Linked DNA regions of Styela clava. The protein of the gene in region 1 purifies or fractionates together with the protein of each later gene. This does not show direct contact. Links are inferred from orthologs where the notes say so. Each region holds a gene or a part of one and is shown on either strand. Other genes may lie near its edges.

Region 1 (6,663 bases):
TGATGTTTGTTAATATCACAGAATTTCATTGTTGTATCTATAAACGTCAAGATTATGCCCATATGGGGATGACATTCTGTGATCTGTGAATAGGGAATGAATTGTCTTGTGCACACAGGACCAAGCCGATGATTTCGTGCCTTTATTTTAGTCAAAACACTCCACTATTTTCAAGCGTTGGCCATCTGACAGCAGTGACAAACCGCAGAGCTGACAGAGCGATCCACTTTTTTTTATCACTGGGTTCGAGGTCCGAACTTAGGCCTGCTAGTATTAAATTTTTTCAAATATAACAATTCATCATACAATGAGTGTAGAAAAAAAGGTGACTGAGGTAAACTGGGAGGAAACGTATTTGGTATCCACAACAATGTTAAACTACAGTGTCTGGTGTGTTTTCAAATAATATCTGTCACGAAAGAATATGATTTTAAGCGACTTCACAAAACGAAACACGGGATAGATACCAAAACTACCCTGATATTTCTCAGAAAAATCTTGGAGCGATGCTGTTCTCCATAAAAATGTTTCGCATCCATAAGTTTTAAGCCATTTCAAGGTGCCCTATCCTGTCCATTCGGTGCAAAGGCATGAATATATACAAATATTCCGTGATATTTCTTGCTTTCATTCTATTGTGCTTTTCCGAAAAGGCGGATAAAAACGATTTGATTGATTGAAGCAATTTTAAAATAACTAAAGGTTTCATATTGTTTCCATGAAAAACTGATTAGGACAATAAACTCTCATGCATATATTTAAAGTGAGTAAACTCGCAATGTTTTGATCACTTTTGGGTTTTCTCCGATTGCGGCCCTTCAACCTCGCAACCTTGGACTAAGAGGTATTTGGAAAGTCTTTATTTCATGAAATCTTTAAAGCAAAATCTTTATTTTAGGCATAACTTACATTTTGTCTTTGAGTGGATCCAAACTAGAGATGTGTCGTGAGGATATTGAATCTTTTTGGGCACTTAACGTGCATTCAGCAACAATAAGAGTATATCCAAAACTAAGCAGAAAAAGTACCTTCAACAATTTGAGGTTTGACAAAGCATCCATCTCGTAATGTTTCATATGTGAAGAATATAGTGATAAATACACTAAACAAATATTGATCAAAAGTTTAAAGTAATTTTCTAAATCAATTAACGCATATCGATTCAGACCATTATTAACACGAGTCAGTACTTGAATTTGAAGAACCCCACAATAAAAATAGCGGCTGAAGGATCTGTAATACAACAGAGTAGAGCACTTCTTTCGAGCATATTTGTAGTTAAAAATGGCGTTCAAATCCCAAAATACCTATTTTATTCTATTATTACAAAAACTCAAAATATGATTTTGCAATATTACTTTCAGCTACTATTTTAGTGTAAAACAAAAAAACTACATTTTGATAACGCATTCTACAATAATTTAATCGTTGAGTTTTTGTGTACAATGTTTTTACATATGTTTGTGGCAAACAATATTCAGTCTCCAAAAAGTAATGCTTGACAATGGCATTAATATATCTAGAAATTTTGCAAATAATTGAAACATTACATTGATAAATAAATTATTGTTATAATCAATATAAATGCTTCCAATGCTGCAAAAAAAGCTTTGTAAATGAAAAATCATCACAGAAAATCTTGCACCCCCGTTCTGTGTTAGAGTTGATGCACCAACACAAGAGAGTATTGAAGGTTCTAACACATTTCAGTCATATTATGCAAAATCATAGTCATCCCTTTCGTCATTAAATTCCATAATGTGCTTTCGTATTTTAGACGTCGATTTCCATGTTATAAAATCTTCCATAGTTCTAGTGACGAAATATGCAGGATCTGTTACAACATCTGTTCCAATTCTGATATGTCCTTGCTCAATCAATTCCGTGGCCATTTTCAAATTCTGCGACATGCGCAACTTAACGAGCATGACAGGTAAACGTCGCCTGCAAAATGTAGACGCCGTTATTTTGTCCACCAATGCCAGTGACTCTTTCGTAGGAATTAATCCCATTCTATAAAGTTTATCTAATAATTTTGCAGTACATCTTTCTCTAAAAGGATCATCGGTTTCGAGATCTCTTAGTTTGCGCGCTATCGATCGCACATGCCGACTCAATTTGTTATATGACGTGTAATCTTCTCGTTTTTGTATCCTATATTTCCTTAAAATCTTTATTTCATGAAGATTGTTATCCGCTTCCCAAGCGAAAAAATCTACTTTTTTCAACAACTTCTTTTCGTGATACTTCAACTGCCTCATGGTCGACAAATACTACGCGAAGCGATCAAATAATGACAAACAGAATCCACCGTACACTTCACCACAGAACGAAACGCTGATTCCACAATCTGGCGACGGAAATCACGAGCTCTGACATGTTCACACAGAGATATAGATATTTCCAGTTCAGTGCATGTTCATCAAATGTGAAATCATGCGGAACAGATGGTGGGCTTGTCCATTTGTCTAATCTGATATGTTAATCGTTGGTCTGGATCGGTCTGGATGTATGCGCTATATAACCAGAGCAAACGTACATAAATACTAACGCATCGTTGACCTTGGCATGGATATGAAATGACTACCGCAGATTTTGATTTATTTATCTTCATACGAATGTACAATAACGCACACGCAAAAGGAACATCTTGTCGAACGGGAGAGACAGAATAACAAGGAAAACGAGAATGTTGGTCAGAGACCGAAGACTTATCGATCGAAAGTTAGGGGATTCAAAACAGCGCTCTTACTCCATAGTGACACCTTGTGTCCCATTACTAATTAAATGATAACTCGCTAATTATACGACACAATTCGCCCAAAATCAATAGGCCTCAGGTACGAGATATGATGAATGCACATGCAAAATTTGCTGCAGATCCAATCTCGTTTTCGTGAGATATCGCCTAGCCTACATCTAACAGACAGACAAACAGACAGACAGACAGACAGACAAACAGACAAATACCTATCAACATACTTACCGATTAAAATCGATAAGTAACAAGCAAAATGTCCGCACGTTCGTGGGAGAGCTGGACTTTGAGAACTAATGACGTTGTATGCAGGATACAGATTATTTAGAATGGGTTTCACGTCAGTATATTTCCAAACCTGCCAACATCATTTGGTGTGCGGTAATGATTCACATATTTGCATCATTAGCAACGCATTTTCGGTCATTTTGTAGCTCCAGAAACAAAATCTTGAGGAAAACATGACTAAAGCTCTCAACCAGGACTTTTAGTTTGGCGTTGCAGACGGATAACTCGCTTACCGACGCAGATGGGCAAACCCTCCGCGATGGGCAAACCCCTTTACGCATAAGCAAGTTTTTACTTTTCCAGTGTCAAATAAAGAAATGCTGATCTACTAACCCGCATAAAAAGACTATAAAAATTTATGAGGCACTCGAATATATTAAACAATACTGGACTAAGAAAAACAATTCTCAGAAAGTCTAAAAGTTACCCATGGATAAATCATTGGTAGTCACAAAACTTGTGGCCAAGGGCACAGAATGTGTCGCAGTCAAGTCAGAAACAACATAGAGGCGACGTAACAATTACCGGCTTTCCTCTCCCCTGGGATAAATATGTAAATCCTATCCTAATATAAGTCTTATTTATAAGTAAATGGATATCTATTTTCATATTTTGTATATTTGAAATTTGAAAATCTCGCAATTCTGTATTTTGTAATTTTGTTTTTGATAAATTAAAAGACATCCCCCCAAAATAAGCCCTTCGAAAGAAATTTGAAATAAGACCCTGTCTTATTTTTGGGGAAACACGGTAGCCGCCCACATGGTTACAATGTGAAGTAGTAGCGACTAGCTATGCACAGTGACGAAGAAAACCAGGTTCAAGTACTTCAATTCAAGAGTTTAGCTGACACTGTGCATTGTGCTACTGGTACATGACAACGTTACGGTAGCGGTAGTCTATCAGCTTGTACAGATGTAGATTATCTTAAAATATATTTATGCATAAAAGCAGTGTAGTGTAGCAGGTACCGGAATGAAAAGGAAATAAATTCACATAAAACTGATCGGCCCCTAAGCAGGCGCACATCATATAAATAGTCATTGATCAAGAAAATGACTGACTTGTCAAGAGTGTACATACCGGTAGGTTGGATATCAATAATTGCAGATATAGCAGAAAATGGGTAATCCGGAAGTATGCGCACCAAGATGTCGCATAACCTGAACCCTAACCTGGTACACAACCTAAGTCCAGGATGTGCGCCATCTTGGTGCGCATAGCCTACTTCAGGAGGTCAAGAAAATGTAAATGAATGTAGCGAAAATATATTAGTAACAGAAGGTCATCGATTAGTTATAGTTGTTAGAGCTGAACATTGCAAAACTCAACATTTTTTAATCAATACAATATATTTTGAAAAAAAATAATGCCCAATTAAATATTTTGAAACAAAATTGTGCTTATGAATATGTATACCCGTTTACATGCTTTAACTCGCTAATTCAATCTCAAAATAAGCATCGAACTTTTTCACCACACTGGTAAACTATGTGAGAAAACATCCGGGGGGGTCGGAAAAACATCCACAAGGTTAATTTCAGAAAACATTATAATATTTTATCTGAGATTCCACGTTGCTTGCTAACACGCGATAAGGCTTAATGTATTAGGAATGATTAATTAGTACCACCCCGACAGGGAATTCCTTGACCCAATTATTATTACGCCAGCTATACGGTTGCCCACGATCGCAAGCAAATATATGAATCGATAGATTTGTCCCACAGAAAATGCACATGTTAACGACAAGAATAAAACAACACAGCGGTGGGAAAGTTTAAATTTACATAGATGGGGTAGCCTGGTAGCCTACTTTATATATATATATATATATATATATGAGTATCACTAGGGTAGCATTCATTCCTTTTTGGTCATATATACAATATTCCAACAAAAGTTATAATTATGCACCTTACCAAAACAAAGTTTTAATTAGCGTAATGGGCATTGGGAACCGAACTATATTCTTGTTGGTTTTTAACTACCAAAAAATAATGAAATAAAATTTCATTCTGATCTATAAAATTTATATCTCAATGTTAAGTTACATTACAAATCCAATAAATTTGGATGCACTTAGAAAATAAAGTAAAATATTATAGGAAACACTGATGATATTATTAAATGCGACTTTATGTTACCGTGAGTTTAAAAATGACTAACAATGGTACGGAAAACGTCCACAGTTTGATATCGTCTAATCTTAGATTTATGCACAATAAGAAGTTTGTAGGCCTACAAATAATAGTTCACTGCCTGCGCCAGGAAATATTTCACGATGGTTTTCCGTCAGTGGAGTATGTATCATTATCACAATGCAGTTCATGCTCGTTTGAAGGTAAACCTGGCAATTCAAGGGAATCTGAAGTAGCCACCATCTCATGGGTTGGTTTCCTACTGTTTAGCCGTTCCACAATATCAGCACGATTTAATTCAACAACACTGATTCCATCTCTTTCCAAGTGTGCTCTTGCTATTTCTATACCATCGTATTTAATCTCCGAATATATAATACGAAGGCGGTGGATTTGAAGAACAACAACCAAGGCATTCTTGCAAGTAAAGAATGCCATTGTGTGGCTCAAGATTCCCATAACTGTAAATTAAGACACGAATATTGGTGATGCAGATTACAAATATTAGGTCTGATAGTAATAATAGCAAGGTATTTAATGATTATGCAATCAAATAATCATTTCACTCCGTTAACTTTGTGCAAAAATAAATAGGTTGAAGTATTTGGAAAAATATTATATTACAATTAGAAAGAATAAGATCGTTTGTATTAATTTCTCGATAGAGTATGAACCACGTTCCAATGCTGGTCGGATATGGGAATACTCATTTTACTAATTTATTGTTTCAGTTTCACCACGTAACCACCCTGCTAAGGTGAGTGGTCGGTCCGTACCATCGTACGTAATCATATTTTATTTCAATTGTAAACTATAGTATATTGAATATAATCAATAAATTACTACCACGGGAAAATAAACCGAGGCAAAGTAATATTTAAGTGTTCGTAAGTAAGCAAAATTTTACCCGACAACAGAAAGAGGCGAAATATAAAAAAAGGTAGATCCTGCATTGCGGTTGATGACAGCACCCCGACAACGTCTTTGTTTGACCAGAAATCGCTAGACCAAAACCCCAATTTCCGAACGCGCCTGCAAAAGAAAAATGAAGACCACCATTGCCATTTTACCCGTTCAAGAGTTATTTGCCCAAGCAATTTCCCGTTATGAAGCCACAAATTTTCAAACTTCACAAATGTATAGCATTCATTAGTTTCGGAATTAAAGATTTAACATTTCGAGAGTTTCATCCACCTTAAAAACTAGTATTTTTTTGGTCGTTAATGGAGTGTCATAGTTATAATCTAAAGCTCATCTTGCTTAATCAATCAACGGAGTATCGTTAGAAGAAATATTGTTATTATATATGTACGTTGATACTATTTCCATGAGGTCAAATGTTGCTGGTTGTAAGAAGTTTACTCTTGGAAGAGGAGAAGGAGAAACATCACACAACGAAAGATAAATAATCAAGATGAAAAAAAGACCCACCACCCCTCCAAAGAATATACAGTACAAGAAATCTTCCATTTTTAT
Region 2 (8,080 bases), on another chromosome or scaffold:
CTTTGAAAGATCCCTTTCAGTAGTCATTGAAATTGACCTCCATATTCATATTGTGTTTCAATTGTTTTTCATAAACCAAAGTTAATCCTATCTTCGTAAATCCAATATTTTAATTTTTTATTTTTTTCACTTATATTCCTTTTCATTTACCATAATAATTATCCAAATACGCTCATTGGGTATAACTACCACAATTTGTTCACCATATTAGTAATTCTCCAGACCCCTAGTAATTAATATGCATGGATCAATGATCATATGAGCGTGATAACTAACTTAAATCAATAGCCCCTTGTAATTGTGCTTTTTACAATTATTTAAGTGTATATTACTCTATAATTAGCCGTTACACTCATAGTCATCCATTACCTGGGAATCTTATGCATAACAGTGAATTTGGGGGGAGCTGACTTGGATGACCGTATGGTCGTATCGCTCCCTCCAGTCTTTACCATAAACAGTGTTTATTTATTTGTATTTATGCTTTCATATTTATATTTGTTGTGGTTGACGAATCAATAAATCTCTCTCGCTCAGACACTTTCGTCACCCTGACAGATTTTCAGTCGTGGTTGTAAAAAATACTTCGTTTTTGCGATTCTGAATGCTATTCGTTAGTTTTTGGTTGTGTTTGGGAAATTTAAGTATCAATCAAATAAGTCAATCATCATTTGCCTCTTTAGGAGTTGTAGTTTTAATAGTAGTAATGAAAAATTAGTCTAAGAAATAGCTGTGACAAAATAGGCTAAAATTTTCTACCGGGAGGCAACGTTTTCTGCGAAAGATGCACTCGCCGAAACTGTTTACGTCTTCGTGCTAAAATGAACGTCGAATGTGCATTTTGCGCTAACAGTACTGTAATCCCTCGCGTATTGCTCCAATTTCACAAGGCACACTAATTTTTGTACTGCTTAAATGCGGATATTCATGTAGGTAAGTTACAAAAAAAAAATAAAGTTCATCCGATTTGAATGAAAACTGCGCCAGTGGATAGATCTGAGTGAAAATAAGAAAACAATATCCAGTTTATAAAAAGCTTTTTTAATAAGAACTGTAATAAATATGAAAAAAACACATATCAATCACTAACCTTTCAATCTGCGCCACATCTATGGAATATTGAGACTATTTCATGATTTTATTCTGGCAACGGTCTTGACACCGCCGAAAGTTCGTCGCAAATAAACGCTGGAGTTGTGCATGATGTTTGACGGTGGTTCATTATGGGTAAAATTTAACGATGTTCTGGTTGTACAAACTCCATAAAAATTGGTAAGTATCATGTATCAAGTCAGGAAAGAAATACACACGTCCACATAATTTTTATTGGTGTCCATAGACAATATCATTAATTTGCACCACGTATAACTTGAGCGTAATTTTAAAAGCTCCGAATGTTGGGAAATTTATGCTCTAATGAATAAAAATCAAATACCAGATAATAGTTGTTTATTTTATCTAAATTATGTCGAAATTTCATGGAATTCCATGCTACAGCAGGCAGTCCGTAGTCGTGCAACGTTTTGATAACAGCTAAACTCAGGGTTGTCGTCTATATATAGAAATCTTGTATATTTGTTTTCCTAGGATGTTCTCGATCTATATTCTGCGATATATATAGAATTTAATATTCAAGTCTTCAGAAATGTAGAATATATATTGTTGAATAGATTTCCCAATTTTTGTGAATTTATTGTATTGCATTGACAAAAATATTTGTCCGGCCCGTTTCAACACAGTTTGAGTCATACCCGACCCGCGGTCAAAAAAGTTTGGTGCCCCCTGATCTAGTACATAGGTTCTTAAAGTGCTCCGTACGAAGCCCCAGGGCTCCGCGAGAAAAACCCAAAGGCTCCGCGAGAAAAACCCAAAGGCTCCGCGAGCTATTCGATTACTCCTCAAAATACTGACTCAAAATTTTGTAACTGTTCAAAGAAGCAATAACAGCTTTGATAAAATCTGACAACGATATAGCTTCGAAATATGGTAAAGAGGCGGAATTAAAAAATGACATTATTTATAAGCAGGAGCGCAGCCAGGATTCTTAAGAGGGAGGTGGTTCAAAATTGGAATCGGAAATTTCCGCGCAACATTCTTCGCGATTAAAAAAACGGATAACAAGATTTCTGTTGCGTAAAATATTCAATTCATGACCGATTCGAGCATTTAACGTGTCTCGTCGTTATATAATGTAATTGTGCTCATCATTACTCACGTTTGATTCGAGATTACCATTAGGATTGCTAAAAGGAAAAAATACTATTCTAAAATAACATAAAATATGTGATAAACTGCCAACTATATATAAATTGGAGTCGTATTTTTGCGATCTTGGGATTTGTCAAACTTGATTTGTTCTTTTGCACTTGAGATTATTTTTAAGCAAGATATCGCCGTTTAAAAAATCACAATGTCTGGGCAAAATACGAACAATTGAAATTTATTTTATTGCATTCGGCTCCGTCGGTAGTTTCAGAATGGGAAAAAAGGTACATCGAGCGCACAATTGACTGTGTTTCGATTCCGCAGGTACTACGATGAAAACCTAACATAACACCAAATTTTGAGATTTACAATGTCTATAAAAGCGTTTTCAATCTGAGGTGAGTCTGCTGAAACCAAACGTGTGATCTTCCATTTAAAGTTTCAGTTTTATTATTTTAGAATGCCGTTTTTCTATCAAGAAATTTGAGTTGCGGATTTATCTCTTTATTATTTTTAGCATTCCGTCGCCGATGACTACAATATGGTAACATGTTTTCACATTGAACTCCCCACGAGAACAAAAAAGCAATTAACGTCGTCATTGTGTAACAATACATGTATATGCCGAGGAAAATTTTTGATTTAGGGAGAATAAACACCGGCGTAAAGACGTTTGAAACTGACGAAAAAATCGGCGATTGTAACAAAATGAAATTGCGCACATTATTAGCGGCCTTTTAAGTCTTCCAAAAATGTCAAAAGGGAAAAGATTCGACCCCTAATTTATTAATATGTTTGTCAAGTGTCAAATTTACAGCTTTAGTATAAAATTTAAATTTATTTATGACTAGTGAAGTAAAGTACTTTTACCTTGCTCAGGAATATTAATCTAAAAGTAACAATTTTAACATTTATTTTGGGGCTCCGCGAATAATATTCAACCTTTCAAGTGCTCCGCAACACCAAGAGTTTGAGAACTCCTGATCTAGTAAACTCCACTTTTTTCTATGTACCGTATGTGAAATTGTGAAGTTTGCCAGATGTCCACGCGCGCCTTCTGTGTTTGTTTTTCCAGCATGTGCAACGCAGTGATATAGCGCATAGCGTACCGTAGCAGATGCTGTAGATTCGTAGATTTGCTGGTTGTGTGAGTGGGCTGCATGCACCGGTATGGTTTGGTCATAAATGAACAAGTTCAAAGTTAGTGCCATAACACCGGTATTCTGATCAGTGCCCAAATACAGAAATACCGGTACTGCGACGATTCCCAAATGCAGAAATGCGTGAGTACAGGTACCCATAGTTTGAATGGAGCACGTTTAACAACAAACTACGGACTGAACTGCGAAAGCCATATGGTTATCTTTTGTCGAGACCCATTCATTTATTTTTATCTTTTGCTGCCATGCAGCCATGAGTGGTAACTGACTCAGATGACCGTAAATGGTCGTATCCGTATTTTGTTATTATTATGTGTTTTCTGGTTGATTCTTTCTCTCTATATCAGGGTCGTCCAACCCGTGGCCTGCGGGCCACATGTGGCCCGTCGAGGAGTTTTGAGTGGCCCGCGCTGTATTTTCGAAATAAAAAAAAATTGAGTAAAACTTCTATTTTTCGAGTGATGTAGTTAATATGAAGATTTGATACAAACAATTTGTTTATTTTCCTGAAATGCGCTCTGCTAGCCCATCCCCAACTGGAAGAAATCGATACATAAATAGTAGCTTACACACTTGGGCAGAATGGCAGTTTTAATGACCTCATATTTGGCAGCACGTACTCGTACAAGCAAGTTTTTTCACAGATAAACCATGTCAAATTCCCTCTGAGATCACTAATTTCTGACAGTCATATGGAAAATTGGCTTCGCATTGCTACATCGTCCTTTTCAGTGAAAAACAGTGCCAAACTTCACACTAAAATGTCTACGTGTAGAAAAAACTTTGTTGACTTTACTGTATCTTCGTTTTCTTCATTGTTCTTATTATTGAGAAAGTTTGGTGCGAGGGTTTTGTTTGTTTTTTTATAAATTTTTGGTCAGTGTAGCAAAACTAGAATATAATTACTATGTTAAGTGGCCCGCGCAATTATTAGTAAACTAAATATGGCCCGTGGGCCAAAAAGGTTGGCCGACTCTGCTCTATATATAGTCTATATACCCCTGTACCCTAACCTATGTAGTGTTACCTACGTAACATGTGGATTTTGTTGTTATATTAGTATGCTGAATCACGGACTGTTATTATGTAATCCTACCATTAACACCAAATTTAATGAGTGATTTTTCCATGGCATGTAGATATTAAATGTTTTAAGCCTAAAATGTCAGAATCTTCATCAGAGGATGAATCTTCACATCCATATGTGGATTTGATTTCTTTGGTTAAAACGAATAATCACCAAGAAGAAATAGAAACTGATTCTGAAGATGACAATGTTATCCCTAAAAGGCAGAAGTTAGAAGAAGGAATCCTTGAAAAGAAATCATCAAGCCAGCCACAGGATGACAGTTCTAATGAATCTGAGGACAACGAAGATGTAACTGATGTTCTTATGGAAAACAGTGATTCTGAAAATGAAGATGACAATAACGACTCTGCTGAAATATTGATATTTGGTGAGTCTGATGATGAAGACAATTTTGATAAATCTAAGAATCTCAGTTGTGATTATTACAAACAACATCTTGAGACAAATATTGATTATTTTGTACAACATATAGAAAAGAACAAACCTCAAAGGAGAGATACTTTGGAATGGCCCATGCTAGGGAAGATTCAGTTTATGAATCGATCTGAAGATCCAGCAACAAATGAATTTCTTCCCAAAGTTCCAATCAAGAAAAACACAAACATTGAAACTTATAGACAAACATATCATATCAGAAAAATTGTAATTGATAATTGGATGCAATTTGATAAAAGAAATAAAACAAAGTCGAAAAAAGATAAACACAATGATTTGTTTAACTTGCAGCAAAAAGAGCTATTCACGCTATTGAGTTCATATGTTGATGTGTCTTATACAGATACAAATCTTCTTAATACGTCATCATCTATTCAAGGTGTATATTGTTTTCATGCTGTAAATCATGTCATTAGATCTCGTGCCAAAGTATTACTCAACACATCCAGATTAAGGAAAATGACTCCGGAACAACGTGAACAATCTGAATATCGAGACCAAGGTATCACAAGACCAAAAGTTTTAATCTTAGTTCCTTTCAAGGAAACTGCATTGAGAGTGATTAATATCATGTTGGAATTATTCAAGCAAGGCGATAAATTTGAAGTCAGTTATAAGAAAAGATTTCGCGATGAATTTAGCCAGAGTGAAGATGATATCGATGGAGGTTTTTCAAAAAAGCCGGAAGATTATCAATGCTTATTTGCTGGAAATACAGATGAACATTTTCGAATTGGAATAGCACTGTTACGAAACTCAGTTCGCCTTTACTCACCATTCTATTCCTCTGATATTATTGTGGCATCACCACTTGGACTCAGAACAGTAATTGGTTCTGAAGGAGAAAAACACCATGAACATGATTTCTTGTCATCTATTGAACTTGTTATTATGGACCAAACTGATGTGTTCTTAATGCAGAATTGGGAACATGTTTTACATATATTTGAGCATTTGAATATTACACCAAAAGATTCACATGGTGTAGACTTTTCAAGAGTTAGAAATTTTTCGTTGGATGGTAGAAACAAATTTTACAGACAAACTGTAGTAATATCGAATGTACACTTGCCACAGATATCATCTATCTTTACTAAATGGTGTTGCAACTATAAGGGCTTTGTTAAAACAGAGAATATTCCAGAAAAGGGTAATATATGTGCTATTGCTAAGCAACTTCCACAAGTATTCCACAAGCTTTCCGCACCAAGTTTGGTCGAGTCTTCAGAAGCACGCTTTCGTTTCTTTGTTGATAAATTATATAAGCAGTACAAGGACCCAAGCATGTCACATACCCTGATTTATGTACCACAATATTTTGATTTTGTCCGTCTTCGTAATTTTATGAGAAAACAAAAAAAAGAGGGGTCTGGACCCATATTTGGTCATATAAATGACTACAGCACACCATCCGCTGCTAACAAGACCAAACGTCGGTTTTATACGGGAAAATGCCCATTAATGCTTTATACTGAAAGATTTCATTTTTATAACAGGGCAAGAATTCGGGGAATGCGGCATCTTATTTTTTATGAATTGCCAACTTATCCTTTGTTCTATGTAGAATTGTGTAACATGGTGAGAGATTCACACCAAGGAGATGGAGTTACTTCATCTAGTTCAGTAAATGTTATGTATACAAAATTCGATACCCAAAAACTTGCTTCCACAGTTGGAATGTCCCGTTGTCGTCAATTGCAAACTTCAACAAGAACTGTTCATATGTTTGTTGCTGGGACAAATGACGATTAATATATAATTAATTATGTTGGCAATTTGTTGATTTTCCAATAATGGGCTATATTCAATGTGTTTTTTGACTCTCTTTCTCCCAAAGTTATGAAATTTTGTGTTATTTGGTGCCTTCCACACCTTCAATGAAGCCTCTTACTCATGTCCCTAGTTGGAACACGGTTTCATCCAAGCTATCCAACATCACCCGCTACTTAATTCTCAAGTCACATTGAGCATATACATTTTATTCCTGTCTGGGGAGTATATCAATGTGTTGGCTGGTGTAATAATTAAATAAAACCTTATGACCGTTGATTTTTGTGAATAAAGGCTAAAGCCACTTGTCTTAAGCAAATATTCATCAACTTAATAGGCCATATCATCTATGAGAATATATGTCATAAAATGTGTATAGAAGTGTCAATACTTAAAGTTAAACTTGGATGGACCTAATTCATTCATGGGATTCAGTAATTTCATATTTTCTGTTTTATTTAGATTTCATATATTTAATGTAAATATAAAAATGTCATCTCACAAAAGGCCTGAACTTCAGGCTCCTCCCGAGATATTTTACAATGAAAATGAGGCACAAAAATATACTACAAACTCAAGAATGATGGAGATCCAGGCAAAGATGACAGAACGTGCTCTGGAGTTACTCAATTTGCCAGAGGATAGTTCATGTTTTATTTTAGATGTTGGATGTGGTTCTGGATTAAGTGGGGAAACTATAACAGAAATGGGACATTGTTGGATTGGTTTTGATATCAGTACAGCAATGCTCAATGTTGCTGTCGAACGTGAAGTGGAAGGTGATATAATAAATGCCGATGCTGGTGAAGGCTTGTTTTTTAAACCTGGAACATTTGATGGTGTAATCAGTATATCAGCGATTCAGTGGTTATGTTATTCAAATGTAAAATCCCATAATCCTCCCAAAAGGCTTTATAATTTTTTCTCCACTTTATATTCTGCTATGAGACAAGGTAGCAGAGCAGTGTTTCAATTATACCCAGAAAACCCCAGTCAACTGGAACTTATTACAACACAAGCAACGAGAGCTGGGTTTAGTGGTGGTGTTATCATTGACTATCCTAACAGCACAAAAGCGAAGAAAATATTTTTGTGCTTATTTTGTGGAGTTCCCACTCCTGAAATGCCATCAGCATTGGGTACTGGGGATGCTTCTAATACGCAAATACACTATAACCAACAAAGAATTTCGTACAAGCAAATGAAAGGTAAAAGCGTGAAAAAGTCCAAGGACTGGATAACTGCAAAGAAAGAAAGGTTAAAGAGGCAGGGAAAGCAAGTTAAACCGAACACTAAATACACAGGAAGGAAAAGAAGATCAAAGTTTTAAAAGCTCTTTTAGCATGCATGTGAGCTTTGAAAATTTGGCTTGTTGGATAAGGCTTAATGGAATGGGAGACACAAGTGTATTTATACCCGA

Evidence for each region.
Region 2: the proteins of U3 small nucleolar ribonucleoprotein IMP3-like (region 1) and U3 small nucleolar RNA-associated protein 25 homolog purify together in Homo sapiens (affinity purification with mass spectrometry; 3 studies listed by BioGRID and IntAct, with this or other methods). This does not show direct contact. The link is inferred for Styela clava from reciprocal best matches to the Homo sapiens genes IMP3 and UTP25.

Annotation. Positions count from the first base shown.
Region 1 is NC_135256.1:9,272,270-9,278,932, reverse strand, and holds U3 small nucleolar ribonucleoprotein IMP3-like, read right to left. Parts: upstream 2,369-6,663; 5' UTR 2,262-2,368; coding exon 1,716-2,261; 3' UTR 1,103-1,715; downstream 1-1,102. Other genes in the region: cation-dependent mannose-6-phosphate receptor-like, read right to left, coding at 910-1,076; transmembrane protein 26-like, read right to left, coding at 5,326-5,648, 6,095-6,219. UniProt on the Homo sapiens protein: Component of the 60-80S U3 small nucleolar ribonucleoprotein (U3 snoRNP). Required for the early cleavages during pre-18S ribosomal RNA processing. Part of the small subunit (SSU) processome, first precursor of the small eukaryotic ribosomal subunit.
Region 2 is NC_135253.1:6,533,293-6,541,372, forward strand, and holds U3 small nucleolar RNA-associated protein 25 homolog, read left to right. Parts: upstream 1-4,456; 5' UTR 4,457-4,527; coding exon 4,528-6,642; 3' UTR 6,643-7,084; downstream 7,085-8,080. Other genes in the region: 18S rRNA (guanine-N(7))-methyltransferase-like, read left to right, coding at 7,085-7,990. UniProt on the Homo sapiens protein: Component of the ribosomal small subunit processome for the biogenesis of ribosomes, functions in pre-ribosomal RNA (pre-rRNA) processing. Essential for embryonic development in part through the regulation of p53 pathway.